3 linked regions of the Drosophila melanogaster genome follow. The gene in region 2 interacts genetically with the main gene of each other region. Each region holds a gene or a part of one and is shown on either strand. Other genes may lie near its edges.

Region 1 (7,165 bases), about 15 Mb from region 2:
CTTGAGATAGATGTATGTACATTTTGAAGCTCCCCCAACCAGGCTAAGTGTGCCAGAAAACACCAAAAATCGATGAAATGATTAGGAAAAGAATGCTCAAATCAAAATCTTATATTTTACGGTATTACAATGATTAGGAACGATTGAAATGAATTGGAAATGGGGGGTAAAAAAAGAAAACGATACCGACAGAGAGTATCCTGAGATTGAGCTAGGATTTCGAATGATTCGTTTCGTACTTTTACTTGATCCTTTTTTCTTAGCCGATGCGAGCAGATTGTAGCTGTACTCTAAGAATAATTTCACACTAAGATTAAGTAAAAATTTATTGTTGATATTACATAAAAAAAAAAGAAAAGGAAGACGCAGAAGTGAGATGAACACGGTCGCGTAAACCAAATGAATTAGAATTTTTCTCTAATTTCATAAGTCAATGATCATTATGATGATGATATGATACCGAGGGTAACGATGGTAAAGATGAGTTGAAAATGCTTATGATCTCCAATGTCAATATGTGTAGATTGACGCGATTTGAGCTAATTGAGTGAATTGTTATTATAATAATAAATGAAGTGAAATGAATGGATCGGCAGATCGATCGATCGTTTGGGGCGCAGAAGGCCGCGGTGTTAGTAAATATCATTTAAAATAAATGATAAAAATGTCATTATATATACATAGTTTAAACATGGGATTAATAATAATAAATTAAATGAAAAAGAACCGAAGAAACTGGAATGAGAATTAAATAAAAACGAGTAAACACTGAAATACCGAATTTTAAATACATAAGTTTTGAATCATGCATGCTGCAAAGACAAAGCAAAACCCACACAGAAACCGAAACAAAAGTAATAAAATGAACTTCTATATATGAAAAGAGAAAAATATACGAGAGATACAATTTCAACCAGCTTTTGCAATACTTTTCGGAAGCCCTTCCCCCAACGCCTCTTCCAAAAGAAAGACCCCCCCCCATATCAGCAGCAAAAAAAGACTTCAAATCAGAACCTTTTCATTTCTTAGAAGCCAGCAGCGAATTTTGCAGAAATTCCCAATGGCCATTGGAAGTCAAGGCAAATGCGACAAAGCGGATGCCCTGCAGCCATGGCTCTTTGAGCAACAGATACAGATACAGATACATTTGTATCTTGAGCTTCTAATTGAAACATTACACTCGAACTTCAAACGTTGTCGCCCAACACTTTGAGTTGACCCAAATTTGTTAGCATGTTTTCAAGGTAATGCGAATTTGATACTTTCGTTTTCGTTTTTATTTTTCGGCTTACTTTTGGTCTCATTATTAGTTTTTTTTTTGCACAAGTAGTACCAAAAGTTTTTGATTACTGGCCGCCCAGTTCTATGGGAATCTTGCGCAAGTCTGGCCCGGGTAAACTGCAATCATTTCAATCTGCCTCGATTCGGCAGCCCTCCGACTCCCCGCGCCATTGAAGAAAACTGGAAGTTGAACGACGTGCTCGGAAATATTAATAAGCGGAAAAGCTGTCCCCCCAAACGGCAGATGTCAACAATAGATATTTGTGCCAGGCCATTAGCATTAGCCATAGCCACTACCGTTGGAGGAGTAGAACTTCTGCTGGCTGCCAGTCATTGAACTGCAACTGCTGCCAGTTGCTCGGTTGGATCAGACGACACGACGCACAGCAGCAACATGTTGCTGTCGTAGCGCAACATATATTGTTGCTGCTGCTGTAGCTGCTTGAACGGATCGGCTTGTTCTCTCCGGCGATCGAGTTTTTGGTAGCCAGTTTCAGTTAGGTTTTGAGTCTTCGCGCTTGAAGGTGTGCTGCTCGCGTTTTGAGTGTAAGTGCTGCCGCAAATTCCGGCTTATAATTGCAATTGAAGGCACGTCGTCGCTCGTTTTAGTGTGTTTTAAGTCTGTTTTAGTGTTTGCCGTTCAGGGTACTTGACGACTGCCTGTGTGTGTGTGTGTGTACGTTGTTGGTTGTTGAAATCTGCGCAAACGCATGTAATTCGAACCACAGCGATCTATTCATAGATCCGTCTTATCACTTGAGGGCGCCAACCAAGCCGCCGACCTCTGACCCACAAAGCGTTAAAAATCGGAGTCTTAACGATGCTAATGCCAGCCATAAAGCCAGCCAACCAGCCTTGTGCAATGGCCCCCGGTATCAGAGCGATAAGGCTAACCAGTGGCGAGCCACAACTCTAGACCTGCGGATTTGTGTCGACTGGCATATAGAATTAGCCGGAGCTTCAAGCTTCTGCCGAAAATAAAACAAGCCGCTTCTGGCCGATGGTTACGTCAATTTCGATTCGCGTTCGAGTTCTCGTGCAGGTAAATAATACTACCACAAAAGTGGCAAAAGCAGCAGCACCTCAGCAGCAGTCAAGACAACTTTTGTTTAACACCGCTCAAGGAAACAACGCACACGGACCAAGCATAAAATTAAGCGCGATATAAACTGCAGACCTTATGCCCCACGTCTGTGCCCTTCGCCCGGGGTTTACTCCAGACTACTACCACAAAAGAGCTCATGAAATGCGCATAAAGAATCTCCAATTGACTGGGCCGCGGACAACCACGGTGGGAAGCACTGAGAGAAATGTATGCAGGTTTTTTAGGATGTCCAAGAAAAATACACATTATAAAATCTTATTGGATAAATATAGGCCAAATAACAAATCTAATAACGATTTAAATCTGATAAAAGCATAAACAATTGGAATAAGATTCCAAATAGCTCAAAAGAGGAGTTAAGAGCTGACTGATTCTTCTCTTATTCAGTTCTAGTCCTAGATAGCCACACTCTTTTCTCCCAGTGCACAGGGAGTCACAGTTGAACGAGTTGATTTTTAGTTGCCTTTGCTTTGGAGTCCGAGTGCGCGCATTGAATTTTTGATTTAATTCGTCTTCTTCATCTCGAACTCCGGTTCGCGGCTTCTTTTTTTTTTTGGGGTCTTTTGCACAAGGTTATGCGTCCGCTATTGTCAATACCCCCACCGACAAAACTAACTATCATTAAGTCACATAACACATGCCTTTCAAGCGGATCTCAAATTTTGAACCTCAAGTTTGGCAATTGTGCGACAGTTTGATTTTCTGGGTCTCGCGATGGAGAACTAAGCTCATTTGGGCATTAGTTGTTTGCCAGAAGTTGGAAGCCTTCGAAATCGTATTCTATGCCGAGTCAGAATGTTTAAATCCGTAGAGTGATTGCAATCTGTGAGGTTCATCTGTAAGGTCAAGACAGCTGATTGCAGCATTTAGCAAATATTCATGTGTTTATAAAATGTGCAAACAAATATTTCCTGGAATCGCGCCCATGGGCAGTAATATATGTACTATAGGCAAGTATAGACAAGATGCAGTAGTCAAATGTCTCTTTTTCTTTGTTCCATTCACGGCTAGTTTCATTCAGTCACTCTTCCTGCTGTTTTTTGTTTAGTTTTTGCTGCTGGACAAGTTTAGCGACGCCTACATTTTATGGTTCACGTAAATGGTTAACATTTGAGTCTCATCATGGCTGCGTTTGTGTTTTTTTTTTGTCTGGTGCTGCGCTTCAGTGCGTCGGGTCGACAGGTGTGACTCACAAACGTGGCTAACACCCGGCTAACCTCTGTGTTTTTGGCCCATCAAACACGTCGCTCGTTCTGTGATAACGGCTCGAATTAAAAGCTGCCTCGCCAAGCTGTTAGAATGTGTGTATATGTCTGGCTTGGGCCAATTTGTTTGGCTTCCTTGCCGGCCATAATGCTTGGACAGAAAAAAAAAAAAAAAAAAACAAAAACGGCATAACCGGTCCTCTGAAGTGTAGTGGGCCAACTATAGGAAAACGGTTACGAGGCATGCAAAATGTTTTTAGGAAATAATTTGCAAGTCAAAGCGACAGCCGAACCAATTTTGATGGCTATACTTTGTAGCTGCTTTTACGGCCACAGAGCCTGCGGCTAATTGCATCCACTTAAGGTGATCAGAGTGGAGCTACGCAGAGCTCCAGCTCATCATCACCACCAGCTGGTGGCCTCTACCCAAGTCGACTTGGTCGGTTCAAGTTCAGCGCCACTGAAGGTTCATGGCCAATTAGAGCGCGCTTATATTATCGCCCGTTTATGGAGTGGAAAACAAACACGGCGGCCCTGCAATTATTGCTGTTTAGTTAACCCCACTGTATCGCAACTACTGCACTGGCTATAAAATATAAACAAACCACCGAAGTAGCTTGCTGTAAAACTTTCCGGTTTTAGTCTAAGTGAGTAATGAGTTCGGATGGTATAGCGCTGTTTGTACTTGCTTGTCATCAATATGCACATTGCAATCAAGAGTTATCTAGTCACTTGAATAAATTATTGTGGGATAGATATGCCTCATTATTGTTAAATTGCGAATTTTATAAGAGATCGGAATAGGTTGCGTTTGTTTCAATCAATAATATTTTATAGCAAGGGATTATATGGATATGGAATATGGAAACGTTTGCCTAATTCAAGTGTAATCGCTTTAAATTTGCAATATAATATTTCTATTATAATCCTCTATAGATCTAACCTTGAATGCTGAGCGATGCGGTCGTGGCCTGGCCTTTTCTGGCTGCTGACCCTGGCGCTCCTGGCGGATGGAGGTCGTCGCGAGTCCCAGCTCCGGATCGGCAAGGCCATCAATATATTCCTGCGCTATGGCTACCTGGGAATCTCCATGCGTGTGATACCGCTCAATGACAACTCGGAGCCGGATCGCTGGGTGTTTAAGGAGCCCACCAAAAACATCTATAGGGTAAGGGACTTAAGGCAGAGTTAAGCTTACATTTAATAAATTAAATGGCGTTGATGAACTCGGAATTGTTTGTATTAACCTTTAACCACAATCACCATAATTATTTGGAGTATAATCAAAATTTTAAAATAGGGTTTAAAGTTGTTATCACTTAAAACTATTTTTAGTTGTAATTATATTGTTCACTTCCGCCACGTTTGTCGTTAGAATGAGCGCTTATTATATTTGTTTGATCAGATTTAGGAAAACGATCATTATATACGATTATTCAAGTATGTCACTTGATATTTATTACCTGATAATTGAGCTGACTAGACAATTAGATAATTAATGATTTTTTTCTTTCAGAATCTGAGTGGCCTGGCGGAGAGTCATGAAGACACCACGCCCGGAATCTTTCATGGAGACTTTCACATGGAGTTCTGCGAGAATCGGAGGCAACTGTTCCAGGCCTACTTCCGTGACTTTTCCATTGAGCGAATGGACAAACCGTGGGAGGCATTTACTGGCGGATGGTTTCCGGATAATGCGGCCAAGAAGCTGGGCATCAATACATCTTTCATCCAAGGCGATTACTCGTATGTTTTGGTGAGGGTGGTGCGCTTCAGGGAAACGGGGCGTCTTAACGCTGAGATTCCGGTGCACCAACCCTTGGAGCCGGATGTGCGATCGAGAATGGATCAACTGCAAATCGGAAATATAACTTCCGCAGTGCGATTTATGGAAGATGTGGGCACCCACTACGTAAACTCATACACCACCGGCAATTCGCTGTATCAGGTGTTTGTGTACAGCAGGAAGAACTACAGCATGATCAAGGAGCGAATCAAGAGTAAAGGTCTGAACGGACTGTCCAAGTTGGATCTTTACAACTACTTTGCGCCCTGGTTTGCCGCCCATCTGGGCCAGATTCGATCGGCTAGTGCCAATGCTACAGTGGAAAGATGGGCGAGAAGGAAGCTGCAGTACGAGTACTATGTGGTCAAGTATGTGACCCTGCTGAAACTGCACGGTAATAGTACTCTACTGCGATCCCTGGACTCGCTGCTCGGCAACGATGCCATACTGCAGTTGGACCTCAAGTCGCTGAAGCCCATCTTCCGGGAGGAGCCGGAAAAGGAGAGCTGGTACCACGAGGTTCTCGACAACAATGTGAAGCTCTGGGAGCTTAACATGCCGCAGAGTCATCCCACCCGATAGCTGCATTTTAAATATATATATACTGTGCGATATGTGGCAGCCAAGGATCAATAGTTCCTAGATGCTTAGTTGTAGTTAGGAACCTCTAGTGCGTAGTTAATGTTCTGCCTGTGATAGTTTTAGGTAGTTTAATTGGAACACAGTACACATCCGACTTGCATTTCAGCTAACTAGACCGTAAGATCGCCTTATTGATGTAATAGTTTTGTAAACTTTAATACAAAGTAAAGATAAAAGTAAAAATCTTACTGTTTTCATAACTTGATATTGGCTATTAAAATCTAACTGTTTTCATTACGTAATATTGGCTATGAATATCAAATACTATTTTGAAAGTTTATTTTGAATAATTGATTTTGATTAAGAACCGGTAATCGAAACGGGTAAACGGCTCTACCCGTTTCATCAAGGCTTTCAACCAGACTTATTCTAGTTTTCCACCCTTACGTATTTAGTATATGAATCAAGTATATTTTTAATACCGTGTGGTATATTTCAAACGGTTCAGTTACGCTCATACTGAAATCCGAAATAGCACGTGCGGTTTTTGTATTTTGATTTTGATTTTGGGTGATATATACTGGCATGGATATTTTTTCCAATTGTCCGGGCTTTTGCCCCTCCTGCGGCTCCATTCTGCCCGAGCTTCAAGTCAAGGGCAATGTGATTTGCTACAACTGCAAGAAGGAGTTTCAGCCAGATGGTAAATCCAGAAATTACAACTTTGTTTAATTTATTTAACACTTAAAAATAGTTTACAGCGGCGAGAAGTCCGAGTTTACCATACACTTCAACACCTACGATCCCAGCAAGGTGTTCAACAGGACGAAAAGGGAGTCGGAATCGGACGCGGATGGCCCCGTTGTGGAGAGGAAGTGTCCCAAGTGCAACCACGACAAGATGTCCTATGCCACCCTGCAGCTTCGATCGGCGGACGAAGGCCAGACGGTGTTCTTTACCTGCCTTAAGTGCAAGTAGGTGTCCTGATAAACATATTCCTTCACTTCCACAACTAATCACACACATTCTACCTTGCAGATTCAAAGAATCCGAAAACTCTTAGTTGCTAGCAATGTCCGTGTAAATAGTCCTAGATTAATGAAAATAATCATGCTCGACGGCCTGAGAAATATAGAATTTACCAATTATAATACCTAACCGGTGTCAAACTTGAAGCAGAACCCACCTCGCTGGCCTTGAGTCGGT
Region 2 (6,625 bases):
TCCTCGTCGCTGAGTGCACATTCGAATCAGATAATTGTAAATTGTGTAAAATAATAAATTTCCAGTTAACTATCAACGGACCGCATAGGGCGCTTCTATTCCGTCCCTTTCTCGCTGCCCACTGACGGCTCTCCTTGTCCTCAGCTGCATCCCGGCAGCGTCATTATGACCATTGCGGCGATGCCTCTTGGATGCAGGTTCAGGTCCTGGTCCAGGTCCTGGCAGGTCCGGCTGCTTCATGCAACGCTCGACTTGGCCCGACCGAACTGGACACACACCGAAACCGAACGAAAGAGACGGCTAGACGGCGTGCGACAGAGAGGGCTGCCGCTCGCATTCAGGCGCAAGCGGATCCAAAACAGAAAATGTCAAATTTTGTAATTTATTACCCGAATCCTGTTTCTGTCAGTGACTCTTTGGGTGTTTCGCTTCAGCAGCGGCACACACGGGGGCATTCAGCATTCAGGGTCGCCGAGCGGGGAAGGGAGAAGTCCTTTGTCACACACTGCGTCTGAATTTGTGGCCCAGTTCCGCACAGTGGTATCTAGCAGATACTTTTTGTAATATTTGTAAGAATGCACAGAACTTCGTTACATTCAGAGATTTCTAGTTTCTAGTCAGATGACTAAATACAATATTATGTGTCAAAGTAATTAATTTTGTTTTTGAATAAATTTCTAAAATATCAGCTTGCCTTTAACGTAAATATAGCCTTTTCTACCTATCTTTATCTGATATAAAAAAGTAGCATTTGAAATGCTGTTGTTGCAATGGTATCGAATTGGTATTAAAGCTCTGGCCCTGTTTAATTTGTATTTGTAGTCAGAGCAACCACTGTACCTTTGTGTGTATCCTTGGGCTTTGCCTATGCGAACGTATTTTGTTTGCCTTTTGGCTGCACTCCGACTCCGTCGACTGGAGTGTCTGTGAATTGACTTTTGTTGCCAGTTGGCAGCGGCAGAAGCAGCAAAGCCCGGCCAACAGCAACAAGCTCCTGCCAGATCCCAAAAGCAAACACGACAATTATTTGGCAAATGTCATTAAAAAATATTTCACTTAAGGCCTTGCGACACTTGCTTAAAGGTCAACTGGCTCGTTGGGTGTGTTTTAAAATGTTAAAGCTTGGGCCAATGCACTGAGCAACTTAATGCTTGTAGATATTTACACAATATTCTTCAACGCTAAACATATCGAATTTTCCAAATATGGAGCCTGAAAATAATAATTGCCAATCCTAGCTTAACATCAGAAATGAGTAGAACAACTTAAAAAAAATTAACAAAAGAATCGAACGCTACAGCTAATTAACTCGACAACTGGTTACCTTTTATTCTTCTAATACATTTTATAATGCACTGCCTAACAGGTACATATAGCAAGCACTATATGCTGTCTTACAAAACGATTATATGATATTTTCTTTCGTACGTAGCCGTTTGAGATCATTTGGAAAAACAAACTCGATCTCCACCATCCTTATTCTTTGTCCCAAGTCCTTATATATCTCGCGATACTAAGATTGAATAATGTAGTTATTAATAGCGGAAGTATGTAACAGAATAAACTACAAAGTGCACATTTTGTTCAATTCAGGCTGGACTGGACTGGAGCATATTAATATTATAATATTAACAAAAATTCAAATTAAACATTCGACACTTGTCTAATTGATTCCTAAATTTGGGGTGCCTGTTTGTTAATTAAATGTTAATATTATGAAGTTCCAAACAGAGCAAAGAGTTTAAGTTTAATTGGTTCTACTTATTTGTTACAATATTCAAGCTTTTTTTTATTATTATTCTCAAATGCAAATCTCTACAAATAAATAAACCTCCGACGTTTTAGAACATTCACCTTTTGTCAGTGAGCACAACCTTTCAATACAGCCCGACAGGGGGCTCTCTACTGCTGTCTCTTCACGCCCCCTGGTGAAAACGCTGTGCACTCAATCGGTTTGCAGCTTTGCCGTACTGTTCGATTAAAAACTTTTAAATTAGAGGCAAACATTTAAAAATAAAATGTCCAAATATTTGTCTAAAATGTATTGTAGACGCTTATTGATTTTTAAATTACTCAAAAGAATGAACATCGAGGGAGGGCCGCCAATTGTGCCATCTCTACATCTCTTCGCTCATCCCTAAATAACGGCACTCTGCAGATGCGAAGCAGTGGATCGCAAAAACGCAAAATGTGGGCGAAATAAGTTCGCGAGCGTCTCGAAAGTAACCGGTTACTGAAAATACAAGAAAGTTTCCACACTCCTTTGCCATTTTTCCGCGCGGCGCTTGGAAATTCGTAAAGATAACGCGGCGGAGTGTTTGGGGAAAATGGCGCAACCGCCGCCAGATCAAAACTTTTACCATCATCCGCTGCCCCACACGCACACACATCCGCATCCGCACTCCCATCCGCATCCGCACTCGCATCCGCACCCACATCACCAACATCCGCAGCTTCAGTTGCCGCCACAATTCCGAAATCCCTTCGATTTGGTGAGTTCCCATCGCAGCAGAGAAGGGCTCTTGTCCCAGGAAAGCTACAGTACAGATTCCCTATGGTGAACAAACAACCAGTGCGATCACTGATGACCATAAACATTTATTGAGCCGCAGCAAATGTGTTTCTAGAACATAGGGCGAAATCTTCTATTATCTTGTTTGTGACTTTTAAAGTATCGTAGCAGAATCTAAAAACCAATTGATATTATTAATCGTTACAGTTAGTATAGTATATAATTGTATATGAATTGTGGGGCATCATGTTATTAGTGATTTGCCGAAATGTTCTAAAAGGTGTTTCATTGAAATGGACGAATGTTAAACCTGTTGCACTCACACCGACAATCAGTAATGTCTATTTTTCAAAAGCCACATCTATGGCCACTGGGTATACATTATTGACTTTATACACTTCATACAACATATTTTCTAAAACAAGCATTGTTGTCCTGCATGATGATTAGTGAAAGTAATATTGCAAGATTCGGTCCCCGAAGCGAATCGTCCTTTCACGTTTTTATATAAAGACAGTGTACCCCTTGATTCTTTGAAGCTTTTCGATGAGCGAACGGGAGCGATAAACTACAACTACATACGTCCGTATCTGCCCAACCAGATGCCCAAGCCAGGTGAGCTCAAAGCCAACAAAGTCAGCCATCGTCTTATCAGATGTCTTTCCCTCAGAGGAGCTGCCCGACTCTCTGGTGATGCGGCGACCACGTCGCACCCGCACCACTTTTACCAGCTCTCAAATAGCAGAGCTGGAGCAGCACTTTCTGCAGGGACGATACCTCACAGCCCCCCGACTTGCGGATCTGTCAGCGAAACTAGCCCTGGGCACAGCCCAGGTGAAGATATGGTTTAAGAACCGTCGGCGTCGTCACAAGATCCAATCGGATCAGCACAAGGACCAGTCCTACGAGGGGATGCCTCTCTCGCCGGGTATGAAACAGAGCGATGGCGATCCCCCCAGCTTGCAGACTCTTAGCTTGGGTGGAGGAGCCACGCCCAACGCTTTGACTCCGTCACCCACGCCCTCAACGCCCACTGCACACATGACGGAGCACTACAGCGAGTCATTCAACGCCTACTACAACTACAATGGAGGCCACAATCACGCCCAGGCCAATCGTCACATGCACATGCAGTATCCTTCCGGAGGGGGGCCAGGACCTGGGTCGACCAATGTCAATGGCGGCCAGTTCTTCCAGCAGCAGCAGGTCCATAATCACCAGCAGCAACTGCACCACCAGGGCAACCACGTGCCGCACCAGATGCAGCAGCAGCAACAGCAGGCTCAGCAGCAGCAATACCATCACTTTGACTTCCAGCAAAAGCAAGCCAGCGCCTGTCGCGTCCTGGTCAAGGACGAACCGGAGGCCGACTACAACTTCAACAGCTCGTACTACATGCGATCGGGAATGTCTGGCGCCACTGCATCGGCATCCGCTGTGGCCCGAGGCGCTGCCTCGCCGGGCTCCGAGGTCTACGAGCCATTAACACCCAAGAATGACGAAAGTCCGAGTCTGTGTGGCATCGGCATCGGCGGACCTTGCGCCATCGCCGTTGGCGAGACGGAGGCGGCCGACGACATGGACGACGGAACGAGCAAGAAGACGACGCTACAGGTCAGGCATGAGTCCACAACCTTTTTTGATCTCTTGATTCTGAGTGTGGCGTTTATAAATTGAAGCTTTAAGCTTTGTAACTTTCAAACTGTCTGGTTTGAGATGTTATTCTGAAAGTACTTCTATTTCCGATCGATGAGATTTGGGAGTTCTCCAATATTTAACATTTAACTTATTAAGTTTTTGTTTTCTAAATTAGACATGGCATTTCTGAAAGGGAAGTACAAGTGTTAAAGATGTATTTTAATATAGAATTTGTATCAAAGGTTAAGATTTCAACCGTTTGAAAGCCCTTAGTTTTCAGGGTTTTTTACTTTTTTATTCATGTAATCACTCTTAATACACTGCAAGTTAAAATAGCATTTCTTTGACCAGAAAAATAAGATCTATGCATTTTAAAAGTGAAAACAGACTCATATGCTGATGAACATTTTTAGCTATAAATTGTAACAATAATTTAGCAATTTCAATCGAATTTATTTATGTTCTAAATGCGTTCGCTCTCTCCCTAGATCTTGGAGCCTTTGAAGGGTCTGGACAAGAGCTGCGACGATGGCAGTAGCGACGACATGAGCACCGGAATAAGAGCCTTAGCAGGAACCGGAAATCGTGGAGCGGCATTTGCCAAATTTGGCAAGCCTTCGCCCCCACAAGGCCCTCAGCCGCCCCTCGGAATGGGGGGCGTGGCCATGGGCGAATCGAACCAATATCAATGCACGATGGATACGATAATGCAAGCGTATAATCCCCATCGGAACGCCGCGGGCAACTCGCAGTTTGCCTACTGCTTCAATTAGCCTGGATGAGAGGCGTGTTAGAGAGTTTCATTAGCTTTAGGTTAACCACTGTTGTTCCTGATTGTACAAATACCAAGTGATTGTAGATATCTACGCGTAGAAAGTTAGGTCTAGTCCTAAGATCCGTGTAAATGGTTCCCAGGGAAGTTTTATGTACTAGCCTAGTCAGCAGGCCGCACGGATTCCAGTGCATATCTTAGTGATACTCCAGTTAACTCTATACTTTCCCTGCAATACGCTATTCGCCTTAGATGTATCTGGGTGGCTGCTCCACTAAAGCCCGGGAATATGCAACCAGTTACATTTGAGGCCATTTGGGCTTAAGCGTATTCCATGGAAAGTTATCGTCCCACATTTCGGAAATTATATTCCGAGCCAGCAAGAAAATCTTCTCTGTTACAATTTGACATAGCTAAAAACTGTACTAATCAAAATGAAAAATGTTTCTCTTGGGCGTAATCTCATACAATGATTACCCTTAAAGATCGAACATTTAAACAATAATATTTGATATGATATTTTCAATTTCTATGCTATGCCAAAGTGTCTGACATAATCAAACATTTGCGCATTCTTTGACCAAGAATAGTCAGCAAATTGTATTTTCAATCAATGCAGACCATTTGTTTCAGATTCGGAGATTTTTTGCTGCCAAACGGAATAACTATCATAGCTCACATTCTATTTACATCACTAAGAAGAGCATTGCAATCTGTTAGGCCTCAAGTTTAATTTTAAAATGCTGCACCTTTGATGTTGTCTCTTTAAGCTTTGTATTTTTAATTACGAAAATATATAAGAACTACTCTACTCGGGTAAATTGTGACTAACTACACATAACTACATACTTAGCCCATATTTCCGTCCCTTTCTAGAATGAACGAAAACAGTATCTGGTTTTCCCGAAAATCTTATGAATTTAAAAATGCACTTTATTGCACATACTCACACATGCCTGCCATAAAATATGATTCGCGATTTTTCCGCGAACACCCGCGGATCATAAAACATTTGCACCAGCTGCCTGTGTTTATTCACCTACCTGAAACCCATACTCTTATCGCCTGATCCTCGCGCGGTCGCACTATTTAGGTAGACACTGTACAGGCAGCACTCGCGGGGCGCCGCCAGGCAACTTGTTGCCCCTATTTTCTTTGATATAAGTTTTGGGAAATCCAGAAGTCCAATAACGGGGCCTATATGAACGAATATTGATTGGGTTTCTCCCAGTTATAGAGTTTTTATTGATCTTGGGCGCGTTTTAGTAGGTGGATTATGGATGTCCTGGGAAAACCAAGCTCTGAATCCATTCTTACTTATCACAAGACTTGTTTTCCTGTGCCCTTCATCACACCTAGTTTAACTACTATAATTAATAAACTACTTTTTAATCCGCCATTTATGAAGATAATTTATAGCATCTATGCATCTTTCAAATATCGCGAGATATCGCAAAGTATTCATAAATTAGTTTTTTATTGATATTGTAAAGCTTTTTAATTTGGTTCAGGTTTTTATTGTAAATACTTTTCACAATTGTGCACAGTGACCCATTAACATGGTTGCGATATTAACTTAAGACTTAAACAAGTTAATTAAGAGTTTTAGCACTTCTTTTCAAAAGATCATGTTTTAATTATGTTTTTAAATGAATCTTTTCGACAATTCTAAAAATATTATTTCGAAAATGTTAATTTTCATA
Region 3 (5,099 bases), on a different chromosome or scaffold from region 2:
TACATTGATTGGGTGTTTGATTTGACGTAAATTACTTTATCAAAGTAATGAATGTTAGGGAGTTATGCAAATAGGATGCTCAGGACTTTCTGACGTTATTAACACTGGCACGTCTTAAAACCTGGGGATATTCAGGGTATATGGTGTAAGTGTAAGAGTGACATATATTTTGTAAGGAATTTTTAAGAAAATATAAACCAAAAATATAAACCAAATACAAACCATAGTTTGTAATAGTTAGTTTTAGTTTGCTGGCATAGTGTCTGTCCGTTCGTATGAACGTCGAGGTCACAGGAATTAGAAGAGCTAAAAATTTGAGATTAGATTCCGGAGACCATGACGCAGCGTAAATTTATTAACTGCCTACAACCCGCCAAAAACTGTCACGCCAACATTTTTTGAAAATGTTTTGATAATTATTATTTATCGTTTGCACTTCCACTAGCTGAGTAACAGGTATCTGATGGTATATGGGCTCGACTACAGCGTTCTCTTTTGTTTCTTTTAATTTCGCGTCAAGATTTTTAACTTTCTTTTCACACTTTACGAAATAAAATGCTTAAGGTGTTTTACTAAATTACAATACTGCAAAACGCAGTCAATTTGCGGTATATAAGTGAGTAACTTAATCAGATCCGCAACACATTAATAAATTTTACATGGTATTAACTGCAAGGGACTTAAATTTCCGACGGTACAAACTGGAATGTATGTAATACTAATGTTACGCGACCAGAATAAGGTACCTCATACTTAAAGTAAAGATAATATATTTCTTATGCCATTTAATAAACACTTTTATTTAATCAAAATTTCTTAATTTTTACTTATTTCCAAATCGCCATGTTTAAGTTTTCTGTTGAATTTCCCTAATACCTGCATAGACTGCCAACATCTAGTGTTGGTGTTGCGACTATAATATTTTTAATTTGTTGCTTTTTATTGTTAACAACAGCAACAGGTTCGTTGACCAGTCAACGAGCGCTCAGAGAGCAAAACAAATAGAGATATGTAGATACAAACAAGGTTCAAAGCAATCAGTTACCCTCTACTCAGAGTGTTGGAGCGATTTTTCGAAAAGGGTTCGTTTTTTTTTAGAAAGTGTCCAGAAATAGCATTTCGTTTGGTAAAATGTAAATATTTTACAATGTAAGCCAACCAAAATGAGCACAAAAATTAGATTACAATAAATACATCATGCACATAGAAAGGTAACAATTATTTTTGTTGTCAAATAATATATTGCACAGTTTGGGGAGCCTACTAAGAAGATAATATAACATATTTACATATATCAGATGGGCCTTACAAAGTTTAGAGATGTCCTGGGACTCCTAAGATGTCATCAAGGTACCCATCCAAATATTTTAAAAATACTGGATTTTTACCTTTTTCTGGTTATTTTCTTTCTTACTTTTCTTCATAATTACAGATTTTTTCACATCAAGGTCATCGCGATGTGGGTAGTTCATTAACGAACGCCTACAAAACGAAGCTTCACTAATGAGAGTTCGCCGGCTCGTTGACAGATGCATTGGCGCGGATTAAGAATGTGCAGAAGCAAACAAAGGATTGCGGGACCTAAACCAACAACAGCCGGGACAAAAACTGCAGCGGCAATGCAGCAGGAACAATGAAACAAACGGTCTTTTGGCTATTTCACCCATCTTATATTCTAACTTGTCCTACGCACATTTTATATAGCTCCCTAAAAACTGAGAGAAAATGATATAGCCTAAATAAGGAAAATTCAAAATACTTAAAACCAATAAACTTGTTACTAGATAAGTTCCTTCATAATGGCTATAGATAATAGTAATTAACTATTTTGGAAGTAGCAACCTGATTTCTTTCAGAGGATAAGAAAAAAATTACTTTTAAAAAGGTAGTTCCTTTTAAAATTTTATACATTTTCTATAAACTGTAGTGAAAGTTTTTATAAGTGTATCAAGTTAAGAATGCAAACGGGAACCATTCACCCACTACTTTAAAATTGTTAAGCCGCCTTTTTTCAACTTTTCAGTTTTGCGCTTACTTTCCTTTCCATAAACGGGAAACTCATAGAACAAGACACTGTAACCATAATCCACATGCGTGTAATACCTTTAATGTCACTTTTAGCTAATATTCGGAGTGACATGAAAATGAGAAAATAATTTTAATTTTGAATTTTATTTGGGAAAAAATAGCTTCGTGGCCGAATCTTCCTTGTATCTGTTACTTTTCAACAAATCTATATAAACATTTATGTATATATATTTAAACATCTTCTGGCTTGTTTAAATTTGACTACGGTTTCCATGATACTCAAATAAATGAGTGTCTTGATAGAAAAAATGAAAAAAATATTTAGTTCGTAATTACACTTTATAGTGTTTTGTAGGAAAGTGTTAACTTTGTGACAAAGCGCACCAGGGGAGCGTTCGAAGTGGACTCCTATTTTTACTTTTTCTATTAAAATCTATTTTTAATTTAATACTTATAGCAGCTCCATAAGACAGTTTGATTTGTTTTTTGGCAGTTCGGGTAAAAGAGCCACTGTGCATCGAACTGCTAACCCACATATCCGACCCGTTCGCCCCACCATTATTATCCCTGGAACCAACTGCCCACCCCCACCACCGCTTTTGACGAATTCCTTCGGTTGGGGTGAATAATATGCTCTCCGAAGCCTAAAAGATTGGCAAGAAATTTGAAGAATGAGAGGAGCCAAAAGCCTGGAATCTGACATGGATGTTTTGTGTTGATTTGTATATATGTTTTACCTAAGATTTTGTATATGGAAATGCAAATGGAAATATTGCACATTCGAAAAGCAACAAAAACTCAAAAAGGCCGGGCAAAAAAATAAAAGACTGGCAATTAACTTTGACTTCTGAGGGGCACGCGATAAAAGTTATCGATGACTGCGAGAACGGTTGGCATGAGGGGTCACTCAGGAAAAACAAATTTGATTGCTTAAATGGCTCCTAAAATTGAAAGCAAAAGTGGAAGTCAACTCGATAAGAGAGGGTATACGGGGACCACTCTTCTGGTCCATATCCTATTAGAAGGTTGAAATGCACTTAACGTTTGTTTATGCACACACACACAATTAAGAAACTACTCTTGTCCAAATACTCTGCCTGGACTACTTCCATTTCTTCATAGCTTTCCAACTGATTGCTAACTTGTGTGTGCTCGCGAAAAACAGAAACCCTAGGAACAGCTGAGTGTGCACACAAATCCACACGTGCTGCGCCTTTAGACAAAACAAAAATGAATCTTAAGGACAAAACACTTACCGCCCAGAAAGCCCCACGATTGCTCAGTGGCGACTTGAACTTTGTTTTCACTTTTCGTTTCGTTGTTGCCGTTAAATTCGCCACACTCTTGATAAAAAAAAAAAAAAACCGTAAAATATGATTCCGTTCGCGGAGCTCTAATAAGTGCGTCAGTCTCCTGCAAGAAAACACTTACAACTAACATATTTTTATATATATTCTCGGTTAACAGAGCCCACCAGTGTTGCCAATTTTAAAAATGAAAAAATTAGTAATCGAAAAACAATGAAGTTTATAATAGTATGTACATATGCATATGCATAACTGTTGTAAGAAAACAACATAAAATGAAGACATCTTGCTAATATGAGGGATAATGTGATAATGTTCTATTTGGCGAGCAGAGGTTTCATATTTTTAAGAAAGAGCTACCACACTGGGTCTTATCGATTCAATTAACAATATGAACAGCTTCTGATGGATTGCACACGCTTGTGGAAAAAAAAAGATGGAACAGCTGACCGAGAGTTAGCATGTTAGCAGCTAACAGGGGACGGACCACAGATGTCTTAACAGCACTGGTACACAAATCGCTTTACAGCACGCTGTTAGCGGGACTACCGATAATAGTTGCTGTCGATAACAGATGCTGCCATATGTGAGAAAGAAGAAGAGCGAAGAAAACAGATAACTCCAATGTTTGCAAAACAATTTGATTAGTCTTGAAGGAATCCGCTTTAGGCTCTTAGGAACCCGCTTTATAGCGAGCACAGGCACGCACTGGCACACACAGCAAGCAAAGAGTGACAACATTATCCGTGAAGTGGACATATGGCCAACAAGAACATGCGTAACACCACAACCAAAGTGGAGGCCCTGATTGAGAGCTGTCGCAGCGAGGGCAAGTGGCACCGGGTCATCGAGCTAACGGATGAACTGAAGACCGGGTCCCCGCACAATGGTAAGAAGATTTCCGCTGATGACGGTACTCCTGGAATGACTGCCTTCTTTCGTGGAACAGAGTGCCTGGCCAACTTTCTGGTGGGGGAAGCTCGTCTGGAGAGTTACCTGGAGGAAAACGCTCTCGCGTCAGACTCAAATTTTGGTCGCGCCAAGTCTGGATTGGCGGAGGCCCGGCGTTTCCTTCACTTGGCTTTGGGTGAGAGTGGCCAGAAGGCGGGCATCGCCCTGGACGCCTATTTGCTGCTGGCCAAGCTGTGCTTTGCCTGCGGCGAGTATGAGCAGAGTCTAGACAATTTCGTCAAGGCAGAACTCAACACGCTTGCCGAGAAGGAGCTGACCCTGTAAGTTGGGAAAAGGTTTTCTAATCAAAATGTTCTCATCTACTACGTGGGGACTTGCAAATTAAGATGAATGTACACATCAACTCTTAATTAATAGCAAATTTGCAAAACTTATCACTTCTGCTTACATATATATAAAAGTCGCAGCCTGAAGATCCTTGCGGAATCGTATGCCATCAAGGGATTGTGTCTGGAGCAGCAGACTACGAAGCCGTCATCTAAGTTTAAGAAGGCCGAAAAGGACACGGAAATGGTAAAGTCCTCGATTTCAGTTTTAAAACGTAACTGATTTAATAATTTCTTACTCCAGATTAGCTGTTTTGAGCGCGCATCTGATCTGGGGCTGCTCTATCTGCAGGAATACGATCTCGTTAGTGGAAGCAGTGGCTCGTCCAACAACTCGACAGCTGGTTCTACGTTGAATGTAAACGCCTCTACTGTGCAGCCGTCGAGCAGCAGTTTTGCAATCAGCAGTACAATACCGGCGAGTGGTCCAAGTGGACTGGAAATGAACCGCAGGATGGGCGCCATC

Evidence for each region. A genetic interaction does not mean that the proteins touch.
Region 1: of bcd (region 2) and tsl, changing one suppresses a phenotype caused by changing the other (phenotypic suppression), as found in Drosophila melanogaster (one study listed by BioGRID).
Region 3: of bcd (region 2) and bin3, changing one enhances a phenotype caused by changing the other (phenotypic enhancement), as found in Drosophila melanogaster (one study listed by BioGRID).

The regions. Positions count from the first base shown.
Region 1 is NT_033777.3:21,777,146-21,784,310, reverse strand, and holds tsl (torso-like), read left to right. Parts: upstream 1-1,774; 5' UTR 1,775-1,827; exon of another isoform or gene 1,828-2,323; intron 2,324-2,405; exon of another isoform or gene 2,406-2,593; intron 2,594-4,527; 5' UTR 4,528-4,549; coding exon 4,550-4,759; intron 4,760-5,107; coding exon 5,108-5,959; 3' UTR 5,960-6,197; downstream 6,198-7,165. Other genes in the region: Polr1H (RNA polymerase I subunit H), read left to right, coding at 6,545-6,662, 6,714-6,933, 6,998-7,022; CG6800 (uncharacterized protein), read right to left, coding at 7,098-7,165.
Region 2 is NT_033777.3:6,754,974-6,761,598, reverse strand, and holds bcd (bicoid), read left to right. Parts: upstream 1-2,132; 5' UTR 2,133-2,327; coding exon 2,328-2,492; intron 2,493-3,029; exon of another isoform or gene 3,030-3,051; coding exon 3,052-3,127; intron 3,128-3,167; coding exon 3,168-4,126; intron 4,127-4,638; coding exon 4,639-4,923; 3' UTR 4,924-5,757; downstream 5,758-6,625. UniProt on the Drosophila melanogaster protein: Segment polarity transcription factor that provides positional cues for the development of head and thoracic segments.
Region 3 is NT_033778.4:6,212,937-6,218,035, reverse strand, and holds the start of bin3 (bicoid-interacting protein 3), read right to left. Parts: upstream 3,469-5,099; 5' UTR 3,285-3,468; intron 1,840-3,284; exon of another isoform or gene 1,433-1,839; intron 1,351-1,432; exon of another isoform or gene 1,299-1,350; intron 1,212-1,298; exon of another isoform or gene 1,142-1,211; intron 1-1,141. Other genes in the region: Ttc7 (tetratricopeptide repeat domain 7), read left to right, coding at 4,095-4,224, 4,285-4,567, 4,709-4,820, 4,878-5,099.